Linked DNA regions of Astyanax mexicanus. The protein of the gene in region 2 binds, or shares a complex with, the protein of the main gene of each other region. Links are inferred from orthologs where the notes say so. Each region holds a gene or a part of one and is shown on either strand. Other genes may lie near its edges.

What was found.
Region 1: ribosome quality control complex subunit NEMF (region 2) and tcf25 share a complex: the UniProt entries of both Homo sapiens proteins name them as parts of the ribosome quality control complex. The link is inferred for Astyanax mexicanus from reciprocal best matches to the Homo sapiens genes NEMF and TCF25.

The regions. Positions count from the first base shown.
Region 1 is NC_064416.1:13,274,780-13,282,253, forward strand, and holds the start of tcf25 (transcription factor 25), read right to left. Parts: upstream 3,058-7,474; 5' UTR 2,964-3,057; coding exon 2,751-2,963; intron 1,223-2,750; coding exon 1,106-1,222; intron 869-1,105; coding exon 797-868; intron 672-796; coding exon 544-671; intron 432-543; coding exon 366-431; intron 246-365; coding exon 163-245; intron 1-162. Other genes in the region: gas8 (dynein regulatory complex subunit 4), read left to right, coding at 4,234-4,236, 4,433-4,525, 5,874-6,071, 6,168-6,374, 6,497-6,551, 7,003-7,208, 7,292-7,459. UniProt on the Homo sapiens protein: Component of the ribosome quality control complex (RQC), a ribosome-associated complex that mediates ubiquitination and extraction of incompletely synthesized nascent chains for proteasomal degradation.
Region 2 is NC_064421.1:45,012,519-45,020,203, reverse strand, and holds the start of ribosome quality control complex subunit NEMF, read right to left. Parts: upstream 3,277-7,685; 5' UTR 3,170-3,276; coding exon 3,111-3,169; intron 1,962-3,110; coding exon 1,893-1,961; intron 1,789-1,892; coding exon 1,686-1,788; intron 1,587-1,685; coding exon 1,461-1,586; intron 742-1,460; coding exon 593-741; intron 1-592. Other genes in the region: MAPK/MAK/MRK overlapping kinase, read left to right, coding at 5,255-5,324. UniProt on the Homo sapiens protein: Key component of the ribosome quality control complex (RQC), a ribosome-associated complex that mediates the extraction of incompletely synthesized nascent chains from stalled ribosomes as well as their ubiquitin-mediated proteasomal degradation.

The DNA.
Region 1 (7,474 bases), on a different chromosome or scaffold from region 2:
CAGCAATTTATGTTTTCCTCTGCTGACAGATTTTATGGAGATCACAATAGCAAATGTTGATACTATGAAATAGTGTCATACTGTACAGCTCAACATGAACTGCACCTGCTGGTCAAATCCAAAAAATCTGAAGGCCATTGTCAGGAAGCATATCAGGCATACCTGGTTTACTAAAGCGAGGCCAAGTGTCTTTAGGTGCGGTCATCCATGTACTTCTGTGAAACTGCCTCTGTCGTTGCCTGGGCCTGAAAGGAAAAAACACACATACAAATTAACCAAAAAACAAGCCACAATAAAAAGTGACGGTCTTACAGTACATGTATGTGCATGCTTAAAAAACATCGAAAAATAGAAACCAAACCAACCTTTGGTCTCCCAAAACAGCCCGAGCTCCAAAATATCGCTTTAGTTCATTCTCAGGATTCAGGTTCCTAATAGACAAAAGTTAAGTTAAAAGTTAAAAGTTAACAGCAGCAATTTCTGAAACTGTAAAACAAAACGTATGCCATCCTTCAAACATTCAGAACTACAAACAGCCTTCACCTGTGCTCCACATAAAGTACAGGCCTATGGCCTGAGACTCCACTGTCCTCACTCTGGTGTGAAAGGCCATTGGTCTTTTCTATGGTCTCCAGCAGAGCGTCAATGTCATCCCCTGCAGTGGACTCCTCCTATGAAGATTTAGAAGATAGTAAGAGAAGAGGAAGAACAGAAACACAAGCAAAACCTCCAGTGTTAAAATGTTCTGTTTTACACAAGTTTATATGATATGTAATATATACAGTGCATGTCATACCTGCACATCCCCAGGAGCAGTCTTTTTTTTCTTCTTCTTCTTTTTCTTTTTTACTTTCTCGTTAGAGTCAGACTACAAAATAAAAAGAAAAGATAAGAATAGGAATGCTATGTTTAAATGGTTCTGTTTGTGATCAAATTTGCCACTAGATGTCATACAGAGCACCAGCATCTCAGGTCAGAACAAAAAAATGCAATTAACACAAGCCTTAACTTTGCCACGCATGTTAAAGGGTTGACTTGAGTCTCTTTAGAGAAGAATTTAACAGTTATTTGTCCGTTTTTAATTAATGGTAATGTAGTTTTAAACCTTTGTGGTCTCCATATCAGGTTGGCACTCTTGCTTTTGTACTCCATGGCTTCTCCCTGTCAACACGTTCTCCTCATCAGTGGGACTTTTGTCTGTATCATTGTCAGGGTCACCAATCTGTAACAGCACAGAAACAAATAAACATCCACCCTGCTAAGAAAATTATATAAACTGATAGAGGCAGTCACTCAATGTTTATTAGCAAAGATAGAAAATCAAGATATCTGTAATGCAGTTATCCTAATAGAGGTGCTAACTTTGAAAATCAATTATGAAATATTTACTATCAAAAATATCTGATCTAATGATCTATAAATATATACTGCCAGGATAGCATATGCCTTATACAATCTGAATCATATCATGCCATTGATTCTCATTTGCTCATATATACAATTACCTTTTACAGCTTCAGTTACAAAAATACTAGTGCATCTCAAAAAATTAGAATATCAGTGAAAAGTTACTTTATTTCAGTAATTCAATTCAAAATGTGAAACTGATATATCATATAGATGTATTACACACAGGGTGATCTATTAAGTGTTTATTTCTTTTTGTTGATGATTATGGCTTACAGCCAATGAAAACCCAAAAATCAGTGTCAAAATCAGAATATTATATAAGACCAATTGGTACTTTTGGAAGTGTGGACAGTGTGCCAAGTCCTACTGGAAAATGAAATCCTCATCTCCATTAAAGTTGTCAGCAGAGGGAAGCATGAAGTGCTGTAAGATTTTCTGGGAAAACACTGCCCTGACTTTAAACTTGATATAACACAGTTGACCAACACCAGCAGATGACATGTCTTTTCAAACCATCACTGATCATCAGTAAATTGTACATTTCATTTGGAAATCAAGGGATCAGAGTCTGCTGGAAGAGTGGAGACACACACAGTCCAAACTGCTTGAGGTCTAGTGTGACATTTCCACAATCAGTGATGGTTTGGAGAGACATGTCATCTGCTGGTGTTGATCCACTGTGTGTTATATCAAGTCTAAAGTCAGTGCAGTTTTGTTTTTCCACAAAATCTTACAGCACTTCATGCTTCCCTCTGCTGACAACTTTTATGGAGGTGTGAATTTTATTTTCCAGTAGGACTTGTACAATATGTCCATAAAATCCAGAGTTCTAATATATTTTAATTAATTAATATGTGTACCTGGATTTTTTAATAGAATAGAATACTGATGGTGTATTTTGACATAATGGTGTATTTTTGATTGTCTCAGACATCTGAGTTTAAAAAAAGAAAGAATTTACTATACAATCATATTCATCTTCTGGACCAACCGTGTCTCTTATTTGTGTATAGTAATGTTTATAATTCTATAGCTATATCTTTAATTGGACTTAAAAAGTACATGTTATGTAATTGTAGATGCCAGGAAGTGATTAAAGTAAACAAATAGTACTAATAATAACAGTAACAGTATTACTGGTTATATTGATGATGATAATAGGAGATTCTGGGAGTATGGCTGGTCAGTGTGGAGTTTCATAAGTTTGTTTATATCTGGAATAAGAAGGTTTAGCATTACAGAGATCCTGAATTTGAGTTTTATTGTATTAGTAAGAACTCTGGTTATCAGCAGTCAGTCTGTATCAGTCTTTAGCTGTTCAGTGTTATTAAAGTTCTGACCAGTTCATAAATGTTGCTAATGTTCTTCTGAGATTTGCTCCTCTTGGTTTTCCTGCCTGCTCCTCTGACCGGCTGCAGAACCTCCTCCTGCTCCTCTAACTCCTCTCCCTCCCGCGCCGCCTCCTCCTCCTCCTCCACCCGCAGCTCCGCGAGGTCCAGGTCCTCCTGGCCGCGCTGCTTCCCCTTCAGTCTGCGCAGCGCGCGGCTCGACATCTTCACAAACTCCCTAAAACCAGCGGATCTGCAGCAGCTGCGCCCAACTGAGACCCCACCATAACCAGCACCACCAGCGACCCAACAACACGCCTCCTGATTGGACAGCAGTACGGAAACGCTGTCACTGTCACTACCGGAAAACAAATAAAAGTCCCACATGTTAATACAACCAGAAAACTTTTTTTTAAGTATTTTTACAACCAACATCTCAAGCACATCAAAACAAAAACATAAATAGACAAACAAAATAAACAGAAAAAAGTGGGATTCAAATTAATTTAAAATATCGAAGGATTTATGTTTTTTTCTATTTTTAATTTGTCCAAAAATTTCCAGTAAGTAATAATAATTATTTAGGTCTGAATAAATAAAAGTTCGGAATAATGGTATCTATTACAAAGTAAATATAAAGTCAAATCACTATAATTATATTCATTAAGAAAAAATAATTGCATTTAGTAGAAGAGAGCTTTAAAGAATCTTTATAACTTTTGTTTTGTTGAATATATATGTATATTTTGTATTGTTTTGTTTTGTATTTTATTATGTTAGTTTAACCTAATTAAAACTTGATTTTATTTATATTTTATATATATATATATATATAAAAATGTAAAAGCATTAAAAAATCAACTAACCTAATTAATATTTAATTAGATTTCATTTTTAAAGAATTAAAATTATTTAAAAGTTGGACAAGCTAAAATAAAACAATTCACTAAATAAAAGCAGTCAAAGTAAGAGATCATTAATTAGAACAACAAAAAAAAGAACATAACCCCAAATGTAAAATCTGAGTAAGTAAAAATAACACTAACATAACAGTGAAGAAGGATAGGGGTAAAATTATTACAGAAGAAAAATATTAAATTATTATTATTAAAGCAAAAAGAATAAACATAATAATTACATGTTCATAATATATATCGTCCTTTTTTCGTAGTATAAATAAGAATAAATGATTAAAGATTCCTCGCATTGCTTAAAAAAACAACAAACACTTTCTGCTTGGGAATATTTACTGAGTGAGTGTGGAGAGTCTGCAGGGCAGCTCCACGCTGCAGCGACTCATTTCTATTCTCGCGAGATCTGAACTGGTTTCCATGGATCTGGTTTGTTGTTTGCAGACCATCAGCACAGGAGAGCTGTAGCTAAACTATCTAAAGCTAAATCACGAGAATATCTGTACAGTTTCTCTGCAGAAACACCCGAATACACACTGCCCTCATCTGACTGACCAGTACTAGCTACTTTACACACATACAGCATGGTAAGTGTGATTTAACAGCGTTAATTTGTTAGTTAGCTAACGTTATATAGGTTATATATCGGTATAGCTAGTGGAGGAGCTATCTAACCAGAGAGTTAGTTAAAGCTGTATAGACTAACAGTACATCATTAATGTGCGGTAATGCAGTGAGAATGGGTATTTGTAACATTATCCTCTCCAAATGTTCATATTTCAGCCTCCAAAAAAGAAAGGAGGGAAGACTGCGAAGGGCAAGAAGAGCCCTACAGTGGTGGATGGACTTTCCACAGAGGAAATGTCGAAGGAGCAGGTAAACTAATATTTTAGCCAGTTATAATGTCATTATTACTGTTTGTGTCTTCAGTGATAATTATCTAACAGGTTTCCAGCAGATTCAAAGGCTACTAAAGCTTTATAGTTTGTTTTTAAGGTTCCAACAACAATGAGACAGAAATTCTAAACGCATGTTGCCCCCCCTGTGGAGCAATGGAACTGAGTTTTTAGGAATGATGGTTCTCCATTTAGCACTTCTAGGGTGGTGAGTTGTTGAGATGGGGGTGAGGTGGGTTACTGTACAAAGGTGTGAAAAGTATTCACATTTAATATTCAAGTATAAGTATAGATACAAGGGTTTAAAAATACTTCTGTTTAAAAATACTTATTTTTAATCAAGTAAAAGTGTAAAAATACTTGTTTCAAAACTGCTTAAAGTATCTAAGTAAGAGTAATGTTAGGGGAAAATGCATTTAAATGCACATTTTTTTAAATGAAAGGAGTAGAAAGTACAGATAGTAGTGTGAAAATGTGAGGAGTAGAAAGTACAGATAGTAGTGTGAAAATGTGAGGAGTAGAAAGTACAGATAGTAGTGTGAAAATGTGAGGAGTAGAAAAACAGATAAATGTGTGAAATTGTGATGAGTAGAAAGTACAGATAATTATGTGAAAATGAAGGAGTAGAAGTTACAAGTCATCTTAAAATAATTACTCCAGTAAAGTATAGATAACCAACATTTCTACTCAAGTAAGGTAACAAATCATGTATACTGTGTAATATGACACTTCTGGGTGGTGATCATCCAATATCCTGTTCTCACTAACACGATTGTGGCTAAATGCAATAAAATCCCAACAGCAATGATCCAAAATCTATAATAAAGCCTTCCCTGGACAGTCGAGACATTTACTCCAACAAAAGCTCTATGAACTCTATTTATAATAATAAAATAAGCAGTTGTCCATATATTGTATATTGACTTTAAAGTGACAGTCCATAGGTTCTGGTGAGGATGTGAATTTGCACTGAGCATGCTAAAAGTACTTTTAAAATGTGCATTTTAGGCAAAGTCTTTTTACCAGAGTTAGCGAAACTGGTGACTGTTTGCACTCTCCTTAATTCACCAGTTCTCTCCTGGTCTATTTCTGTGTTTCTTTGGTTTAGTGAGATCTGAATGAGCTGATAAAGACTGTGTTTGCTGTTCTGATATCGTTACATTCACAATAGTTTTTTGTATCAACATCATTATTAGCACTATGGTTGTTCATGTTCTATGACCTACCAGACACCCTGTTTTTAGAATGAATATATGTGGCTTTGCAGGAAGCACACTGATGCCAAGTATTAAAACTAAAACTACGTCATTATCTTCATTCTTCATTAGTTGGAGGACCACATTGTCCGCTTGCGTGAAGAGCTGGACAGGGAGAGGGAAGAGCGCAACTACTTCCAACTGGAACGAGATAAGATCCACACCTTCTGGGAGATCACCAAAAGACAGCTGGAGGAAAAGAAAGCAGATCTCAGGAACAGGGATCGGGAAATGGAAGAGGCTGAGGAACGCCATCAAGTTGAGATCAAGGTATCAAGAATGATAATGAGAAGCTCTGGCACATGAAACACTGAAAAAGTTTAGATCTATCATGAATGATCTAACGGTGTTCGTTCTGTTATTCAGGTGTACAAACAGAAGGTGAAACACTTGCTGTATGAACAGCAGAACAGCATCGCAGAGCTCAAGACAGAGGGAGTGGTCACCACCAAACTGCTGCAGAAGGAACATGCAGACCTGGAGAATGATCTGCGGAAGGGCATTCGGAATCTAAAAGTGGATATCAAGGAACAGGAGCTTTCCAGTGAAAATCTGATCAAGAGTCTTAAACTGGTGTGTGAATGCTCAGCTTACAGCTAACATGACAGTCAGTGTTGATAGACTTTAGGCTGATAAGATGTGGACTCTTTTTTAGTTAATGCTATGCAGTTACTAATCATACCTTCTTTTCCCAGAAACATGATGAGGAAATTACCAAGATCAGGAATGATTTTGAACGACAAGTACGAGGTGATGTATCTCACCCTTTTTTATTTGCTTTTATATTAGAGTAAATATTGTAATGTTACAGGCTATATCTCTCTTTTACATAATGTACTACTGGTCAAATCATTTACTAATTAAAGGATTTTTTAATCAAGTGAATAAACCTGTCAACAACTTAGAGCAGATCTGTTGCATTGGAAGTAAATTAACCCTGATGCAAATTTAATGCAAACAATTTACTATTTACAGTCCCTTTCTCTGTATAAAAACAGTGTTGGAACAAACAACAGTGTTTCACTACCACAGTATTTACACAACACTCTACATTCAGATCGCTCATTACTCATTATGACTAAAAAAAGACACTTAAGTTTTAGAGGTTTGATCACTTGGACTACTGAAAACATTTAGGGTCTAACTGTTCTCATACTTTTGACCAGTAGTGTAAATTATGCTATTTTGTTTTCTCTTGCAGAAATAGAGGCTAAATATGAAAAGAAAATGCTGGCTCTGCGCCAGGAGCAGGATCTCAGACGCAAGACTGAAATCGAGGAAATAGAAGAAAGGAAGAACTGCCACATTAACACACTGATACAAAACCATGAGAAAGCTTTCAGTGACATTAAGACCTATTACAATGATATCACTTCCAACAACCTAGCCCTCATCAGTACACTCAAGGTATGCCTGTGTCTGATATAACCTAGTGTTTGCTATTGATTAAACCACTATAATTCTTAATGAATTCTCCTCTCTGTGTGCAGGAGAATGAGAGAGAAATGAAGAATAAAGAAAAGAGGTTGGAGAAAGAGATGGCAAAGGTGCTGCGGGAGAACAAGCAGCTGACCGAGCCTCTGCAGAAGGCCACTGAGGAAGCCACAGAACTCCGGAAACAGCTGGCCAATTACAATAAAGACAAAAACTCACTAGCGGTGTGCACAAGTCTC
Region 2 (7,685 bases):
AAACAACAGCACATCATCAGCAAATCACAGTTAAATAAATACAGTAAAGAGTAAAGTACAGTAATAGAAAATATCACTGCAAGTAGGGATGTGCCATATCGTATCGTACGCAATAATATTTCCATCATTTTTGTATATTATGAACAATATTATACCCTGAAATATGGTGCCATATCACCCGCCCTTAATTATCACATCAGGGTGCTAGTTTTTTTTGTTTGTTTGTTTGTTTTAAGCAAAAGAAAAATTCATACTGTTCTCATTTCTTATTATATATCTACTAGAGACAGATTATATCTGTCCAGTATAATTTATTTTACTATAATCCTGGATAATGTAATGTATGTAATGTAATGTAATGTAATATATGGAGATATTTGGAGTGCATGATTAGTAGTACCATGACATTCTAGACCATTGACTTCTGTTACAAATTTCTTTTTTCAATTAATTAATGTGGCCAGTTTGTCCTTTTGCAGCATTTAATCCATATTGTTATAATTATGATATAATTGAGCATCTCTAGTTGTAACAGTGCCAAGATCTGCAATAAATGGCCACCATTACTTTAAATGATTTACCATGGACTTACCTTTCCAGGCTGATGAGGGGTTCAGGAGGCCGGGCATTCTCCACAGGGTAGCGTTCCCTCACTGCAATCTTCACGTCCTCTGCCTCATCAGTGCGAAAGCGCAACAGGTTCAGTATGGTGTACTCGTGGTCTGTTAGGATTATATTTCCCTGTAAATGCAAAACACACAAGTTAAAGTGGATCTTAGTATAAAATGAAAAAAGGCTTTATTTGTTGTAAATGTAAAAAGTAATGTAAAGTTTAGTTGTGAAAAAATTGTGTAAAATATTACACTTCTGAATTTCAAAAAGATAGAATATCATTGAAAAGTTGGTTTATTTCAGTAATTCAGTTCAAAATGTAAAATTCATATATTACATATCAAATATTATCTGCTGGTGTTGATCCACTGTGTTTTATTATCAAGTCTAAAGTCAGTGCAGTTTTGTTATCTCACAAAATCTTACAGCACTTCTTCATGCTTCCCTCTGCTACTGACAACTTTTATAGAGATGCAGATTTCATTTTCCAGCAGGATTTGGCACACTGCCCACACTACCAAAAGTACCAAAAGTACTCATATAATATTCTATTTTCTGAGATAGTGATTTTTGAGTTTTTATTGGCTGTAAGCCATAATCATCAACAATAAAATAAATAAACACTCAAAATAGATCACTCTGTGTGTAATACGTCTATATAATATATGAGTTTCACATTTTGAACTGAATTACTGAAATAAAGTAATTTTTCATTGATATTATAAAATTTATACAGCCAGTTATGATTTAAACACTTTCTAAAATGAAAGCATTTAGACTGCAACTATAAATAGTTTTTTTTTTTTTTTTGGAGATAATTGTTTGGAAAAAATCCCAAGTTTGCTTACCCTGTCATACAACTCAACTATGAGATGGTATGCAGCTTCGTCTGACCCAAATTGAATGTCCACGATTCTGTCCACACCAAGCTGCTTCACATGCGCCAGTCTTCTTGACTTCAGATGCTTTCGGCACTAAAAATGAATATAAATAATTGAAACAAATGCAATATATTTCATTTGTAGTACAAATAACTAATAGGTGATCCCTGTACTAAAATCCAACATGCTTACTTTCATGGCAAAACCGGAGGGCATGAGATTTTTGGGCCATTCAAACTCTGTGGAGTGAATTCGTATTCCAGACTCAATCAGTAATACTGCTTTACTGTCCGGCCTGAAAAAGAAAAGAATTTTGGAAATGATTATCTCATGGAATCAGATTTAAACATGCTCACTACCAACACTCAATAACAATACTGGCTGTACTGGATCACTTACTTCTGGAGTCGTATGAGATAGGTCTTGTTGTCAATGTCATAGACATTGTACACTCGCATCCCGACATAGCTGAGGAGAATAAAAATATATATTTTTTTAATGATTTTTAAACCCACTCATACCATTCAATGATTATGAGCACATTTATCTTGCTTATGCAGTCTAAATTCACTAGAGAAATAAATGAACAAGAGTGGATGAGAATGGGTTTAATGGCATTTGGCATTTAATGAAGATTTGTATGGAAACTGACTTTTACAATTATTGCACCTTCCTATTCCAGCTCATGAATTAAATGAAAATAAGATAAAATAGATAACAAATAAATATACATTTTAAGCTAGCATTTGTATTTAGTTTGTAACTTAATGTTATTGTAAATATATTATACACACAGCTCTGGGAAAAAATAGACCACCCAAAAATGATGAGTTTCTTTGATTTTACCAAATTAAAAATCTATGGAATATAATCAGGTTTTCCTTTAAGCCATTTTATTTATTTTATTAAATGAATCCTTTCATACGTTTTATTACTGTATTTACTTACTATTTTGGTGTTATTTTAGTCCTCTATTTGTGTTTATATTTTAGTATGCTAATTATTTATCTCTTTATTTTATTGCTTTACATCTTAGCCTGTCTGCATATCTTTTTGTTCTGAATTATTATATTTCTTCTTTATTTATAATTTTATTATTTGTTGCATTCAAAATGAGGGTTACCCTCAATGTATTACCGACAGGAAATAAAAGCTGACTGATATCATATTTGCACTTATTTATAGCTATGGTCATTGGTCACAATTTTGCACATCTAGTTAAATTCTTGTACTTAAGTGTACCTTCTTAATAGCAGTGACGTTTAATGAAATCTAATTAATGAAGCATAATTTCATTAAACAATACGACAGCAAAATTAATCATTGACAAATCAGTAAGTTACATTTACAGAGTAACTTTATAAAACTGGTTTTAATGTGCGAGACAAGGAAGAAAACAGCAGCCATAGACTGCTGACACACAGCTGTCAGGTTTCTCTGACCTAAACTTATATAAAAATAATGCAGAACATTTACAATCTTTTAAAGAGTGATGAAATGAAGCACATGAAGCAGCACAGGTTTAATGTCTGCCTACATTAATTAGCAATACCCAGCTCCCCACTCCCTCTCCCTGTGTGCAGAATTCAGAATACAGCAGCAGAATTCAGTCCTTACTTGGCGTTAATTTCAGAGATCACTGCTCTGATATCCACTGTGTTAAACCTGCTTTTCATCCTGTCAGAAAGAAAAAACACAGGTTACACTTCTTCTCATCTGCTCTTCTCCGGAGACTCAACACCACACACAGCACAAGACTGCCACTGCGCATGCGTGTCATACCCTACGGAAGCCTGTTTGTTTTTTGCTCCAACGCATGTGGTCAAAAAAAAGTCGAAGTAAGTTTCGGATTGTGTGTAGAAGTAGAACGGTAACAAGTGAATTTGGAGGACGAAAAATTACATACATAAATAAATAAAATTTGTCATGAAAAAGTACACATTTAAAAAGGTATCAAGAATCTATTTCCATGCATGAACGAGGCTGAAAACACTGGCTTTTTACGTTAAAAAGACACATAGCACAACGCTGTGCAAACGCTCTGATTAAAAAAACAAACAAACACAAAAAGACGCTCCAAGTTCAATTTATACTTGAATAGAGTAGATAAAATAAAACAATAACGAGAGCATACAATAAAAATTAATTATTTTATTATTAAATATAGACTTAAGAAACAATACATCAGGCTGTTAAAATCCTGAAAAAGAACAAAAACCTCTGTGACCGTGTGAACATAGCATGTAATATGTGTATACATAGACATTTGTTTATTTCTGCATTTATTTATTTAAACATTTCTACATTTATTTATTTTCATATGTCTTAATTTATTTATTTATGTATTTCTGCATTTGTATGTTAATTAAGTAGGCAGTCCTATTCTCGCTGGACTCTGGAAGAATAGCCATACATAAAGTAACATAGAAAATGAATGTGGGCCATGATATAACCCATGTTGTGCATTGGGGGGTATTGACACAAATAGAGTTTTTATTTAAAAAGTAAGAATGTAAAAACGAGGATGTATTATGAAAAAAAATATACATGTAATTTATTGCAAAGATATAGGAAAAATAAAAAAAATAAAACTCGTTTGACCAATGTTGTGCATTAAAATGTTAAGCCTTTAGAGGGCGCTCCCAAGTACGTTCAAAATGAATGGGTTCACATGGACCATATGAAATATTTGGTAATTTTGCCCTGGAAAATACACTAATTTCTCAGCACAGAACATTATTAAATGTTTTAGTACCACATTTAAATGCGTTTAAACTCCAGTTATGAGCTTTTTAAAAACGCTTTGTACTTTTACCTCCAGTACTTGAGTAGTACATTTAAGAATAAATCTACTTGTTTAAATACTTAGGTACAAAAATGTTAAATACTTTAGTACTTCCACGTACTTAAATGGTGGTGCTCAAGTCATTATTGAGTATTATAGTACTTTTACTCATGTCTGGTTCTCTAGTGCTTTATACATCTCTGCCAACCAGTCAGCACACAGTAGTAGCAGTAACGCTAGCGTGTTTGCCTCTGCCTAAAACAGTTTGCTGTTGATTTTTTTTTTAATATATAGCTATGTTTTCTTTACTTTTTAGCGGAATACTTTATTCGAATTTCTAAAATTAAATGAGTATTTCGAATAAGTAGTAAATTACTATTTTTAATTAGAGTTTTTATCCGTTTAGCTCCATTCACCCCATTTATTAAGGACTCACTCGCGGGCTCCCCCTATCGGTTTGCTGTCAAAGTGGGCATGCTCTGCATAAACCGGCTCTGGTAGCTATGGACTTTTCATGATGCTGTGCAGCATGTTAACAACGGCGGAATTTATACAGGTCGTATTTTTTTTTCTTTTATGAGATATGAATTGGTTTTGATATTTGAGAAAGATTTGCCATCTGCCATGTTGGTTATTAGAAGCTAGATAAATAATTACAAATAGCCAGCTCAAACCACCAGTAAATGAGCTAGGTTTACTAACCCTATAGGGAAGAAACGTGCATTGTTCGCTTACAAGGTTAAATCACTATTACAATAACTTATATCAGATCGTGCTAATAATAAAATGCAGTTTATTCAATTGTGGTGATGGAGAGCTGAAAGAGAAAAGTTGAGATTTCTCTCATTAAACGGAATTTAACGGAAGGAGTAGTATTTTTCTTACAGTATTACAGCACAGACATGCAGCTAGAGGTCGAAAAAAAGAATTTGCCCGTGTATTTGGTCTATTGATCATCTCGATTGTGCTGGATCTGATGGAGGTGGTGGAGAAGAAGAAGCAGTGGGAGTCGGATCAGGCGCTCAGCAGCTCCCTCGCTCTGAGAGGTGAGTCGCTCACTAACCCTAATATCACCCGCTGCCCTTTAACAGCAGCGGGCGTGTTGTTCTCAGAAAACGAACCACGGCCTGCTGTAGCGTCCTTCGAGCGGCCTACGCGAGCTGTTTTCTATTAATCCTTGTTAAAAAATAAAGATAAAACCCCCTGTTTGTGTCTGTGAGAGGTGTGTGTGTATAAGTCTCACTGAGTCACTCGGCTCCTTTGACTCGGCTCACCTCAGGTCAGAGTGGAGGCCGGGCGCGTGCCCCGTTACCAGGGCGACAGTAGCGACCTAGCTAAGCGAATGCTAAGCTAAGCTAACAAGCTAACATGGCGGTGGCGGGGAGTCAGCGCGAACCCAGCGCAAAGAAGTTGTTTTAATAGTCGAAAAGAGAACGCTATTATGATTATTTACTGAGGTTAAATATCCTGAAGAATGTAAGCGTCGTTAACTATGTGTGCGCTAAGAAACCGTCCTTTTTTGCGGCTGCTTCTCCGACCCGTGTCAGCGCTAAAGAATGGATAGTAAGTTAGTTAAGTTATTTAACTAAGTTATATAGTTACTAAAAGTGTTCACTAACTGTTGAAAAAATAAGCAAATATGTTGAGTATTATCGTATATATTTTTGTGAGCACCCTGCTAGCTTTTTCTAACTAACCTAAAGTTACCTGAACGGGTAAATAAGTATTCGCTCATGAATGCTAGCTATAGCATACTATAGGGCATCACCTAGCTAACTAACGTTAATTACCTAGCGTTAGGTTAGCTATATTGCCAAAAGTATTCAATCATAAAAGTCCAAATCCCAAAAAAAAAAAAAAATATTTAGGTGTTCCTACGGAGCCCGGGAGGGGCCGTGGATAAAAAAAATAATAAAATCGAGTGAACGATGTAGCAGTTCGTGCTCACGTTTTCTTTAATTCGAGTGAACGATTTGCAATTCGTGCTCACGATTTCTTTAATTCGTGCTCACGATTTCTGTAATTCGTGCGCACGATTTCTGTAATTCGAGTGAACGATTTCTGTAATTCGTGCTCACGTTTTTATGCGCAATAAGACAAGAAGCTCGGAGGGAAAGGAGCATTTTCTCTCTTGATCTGTTACAGGGGTGCAGTAATGATAATCAGTTATCTACCTTTATAACCTGCTGTTATTAATGCACTAGTGTTACAGTTAGATGTACAGTACAGTGAGCAGATTTTGCCTGGTGGTGGAATCTCTACAGCGCGTGGGGGAGAGCCGTCCGCGGCATCGGTTCCCCCGCCCCCAGACACCTGCCGCGCGCGCAGGTCTTCACGGAGCTTATTTACCAACAATGTAGACAAATACAGTCAATTCCAGTCATGAATAAAGGAAACAAACATTTTACTGATGCAGGACAACTGTGTGTTATTAAAACCAGATCAAAACAAAGTTATAATGCAATGTGCAAATGTGTTTATTAATTTCTAAATAACATTCAGCCAGCCTCCAAGGAAATGCACACCTTCTTAAATCTGGTTACATCATTATTACTTTTATGATAGATTTAATCTATATTTTAATAATTTGTATAATAAATAAACACATAATTCAGAAAATATACATTTAAGAAGTTTATAATTATTATATTTTTTTTATTTGAAGCTTGTGGCATGTTTCTGGGCAGGACACTGTGATTTGAGAATAAGCAGATATTCAGGACATTTCATCAGATATAGAAACTTAATTATTTTAGGAAACATATTGGAATAAATTATCAAATTGATCCAAATTATTATATGAAATGCCTATTTACTAAATATCTTAATACATTGTATTAATAGTATTTTAGACCAGCTATTTTGATTTTATATAGTGTTACATATTTAAAGCAGCTCTTATATGAGCCATTCATAGACAACTGTCACACCTTGCATTAATTTTGTATTATCTTTATTAACTTTTACAGTGTACATTTGGACCTAAGTCTTATAGCTGTATATTTATATAATTATACTTCTTTACGTTATACTATTGTTGAAAATAAGAAATTATAAACAGTTCCACATTGCATTATAACTTTGTTTTGATCTGGTTTTAATAACACACAGTTATCCTGCATTAGTAATGTTTGTTTCCTTTAATCATGACTGGAATTGACTGTATTTGTCTACATTGTTGGTAAATAAGCTCCGTGAAGACCTGCGCGCGCGGCAGGTGTCTGGCGGCGGGGGAACCGATGCCGCGGACGGCTCTCCCCCACGCGCTGTAGAGATTCCACCACCAGGCAAAATCTGCTCACTGTACTGTACATCTAACTGTAACACTAGTGCATTAATAACAGCAGGTTATAAAGGTAGATAACTGATTATCATTACTGCACCCCTGTAACAGATCAAGAGAGAAA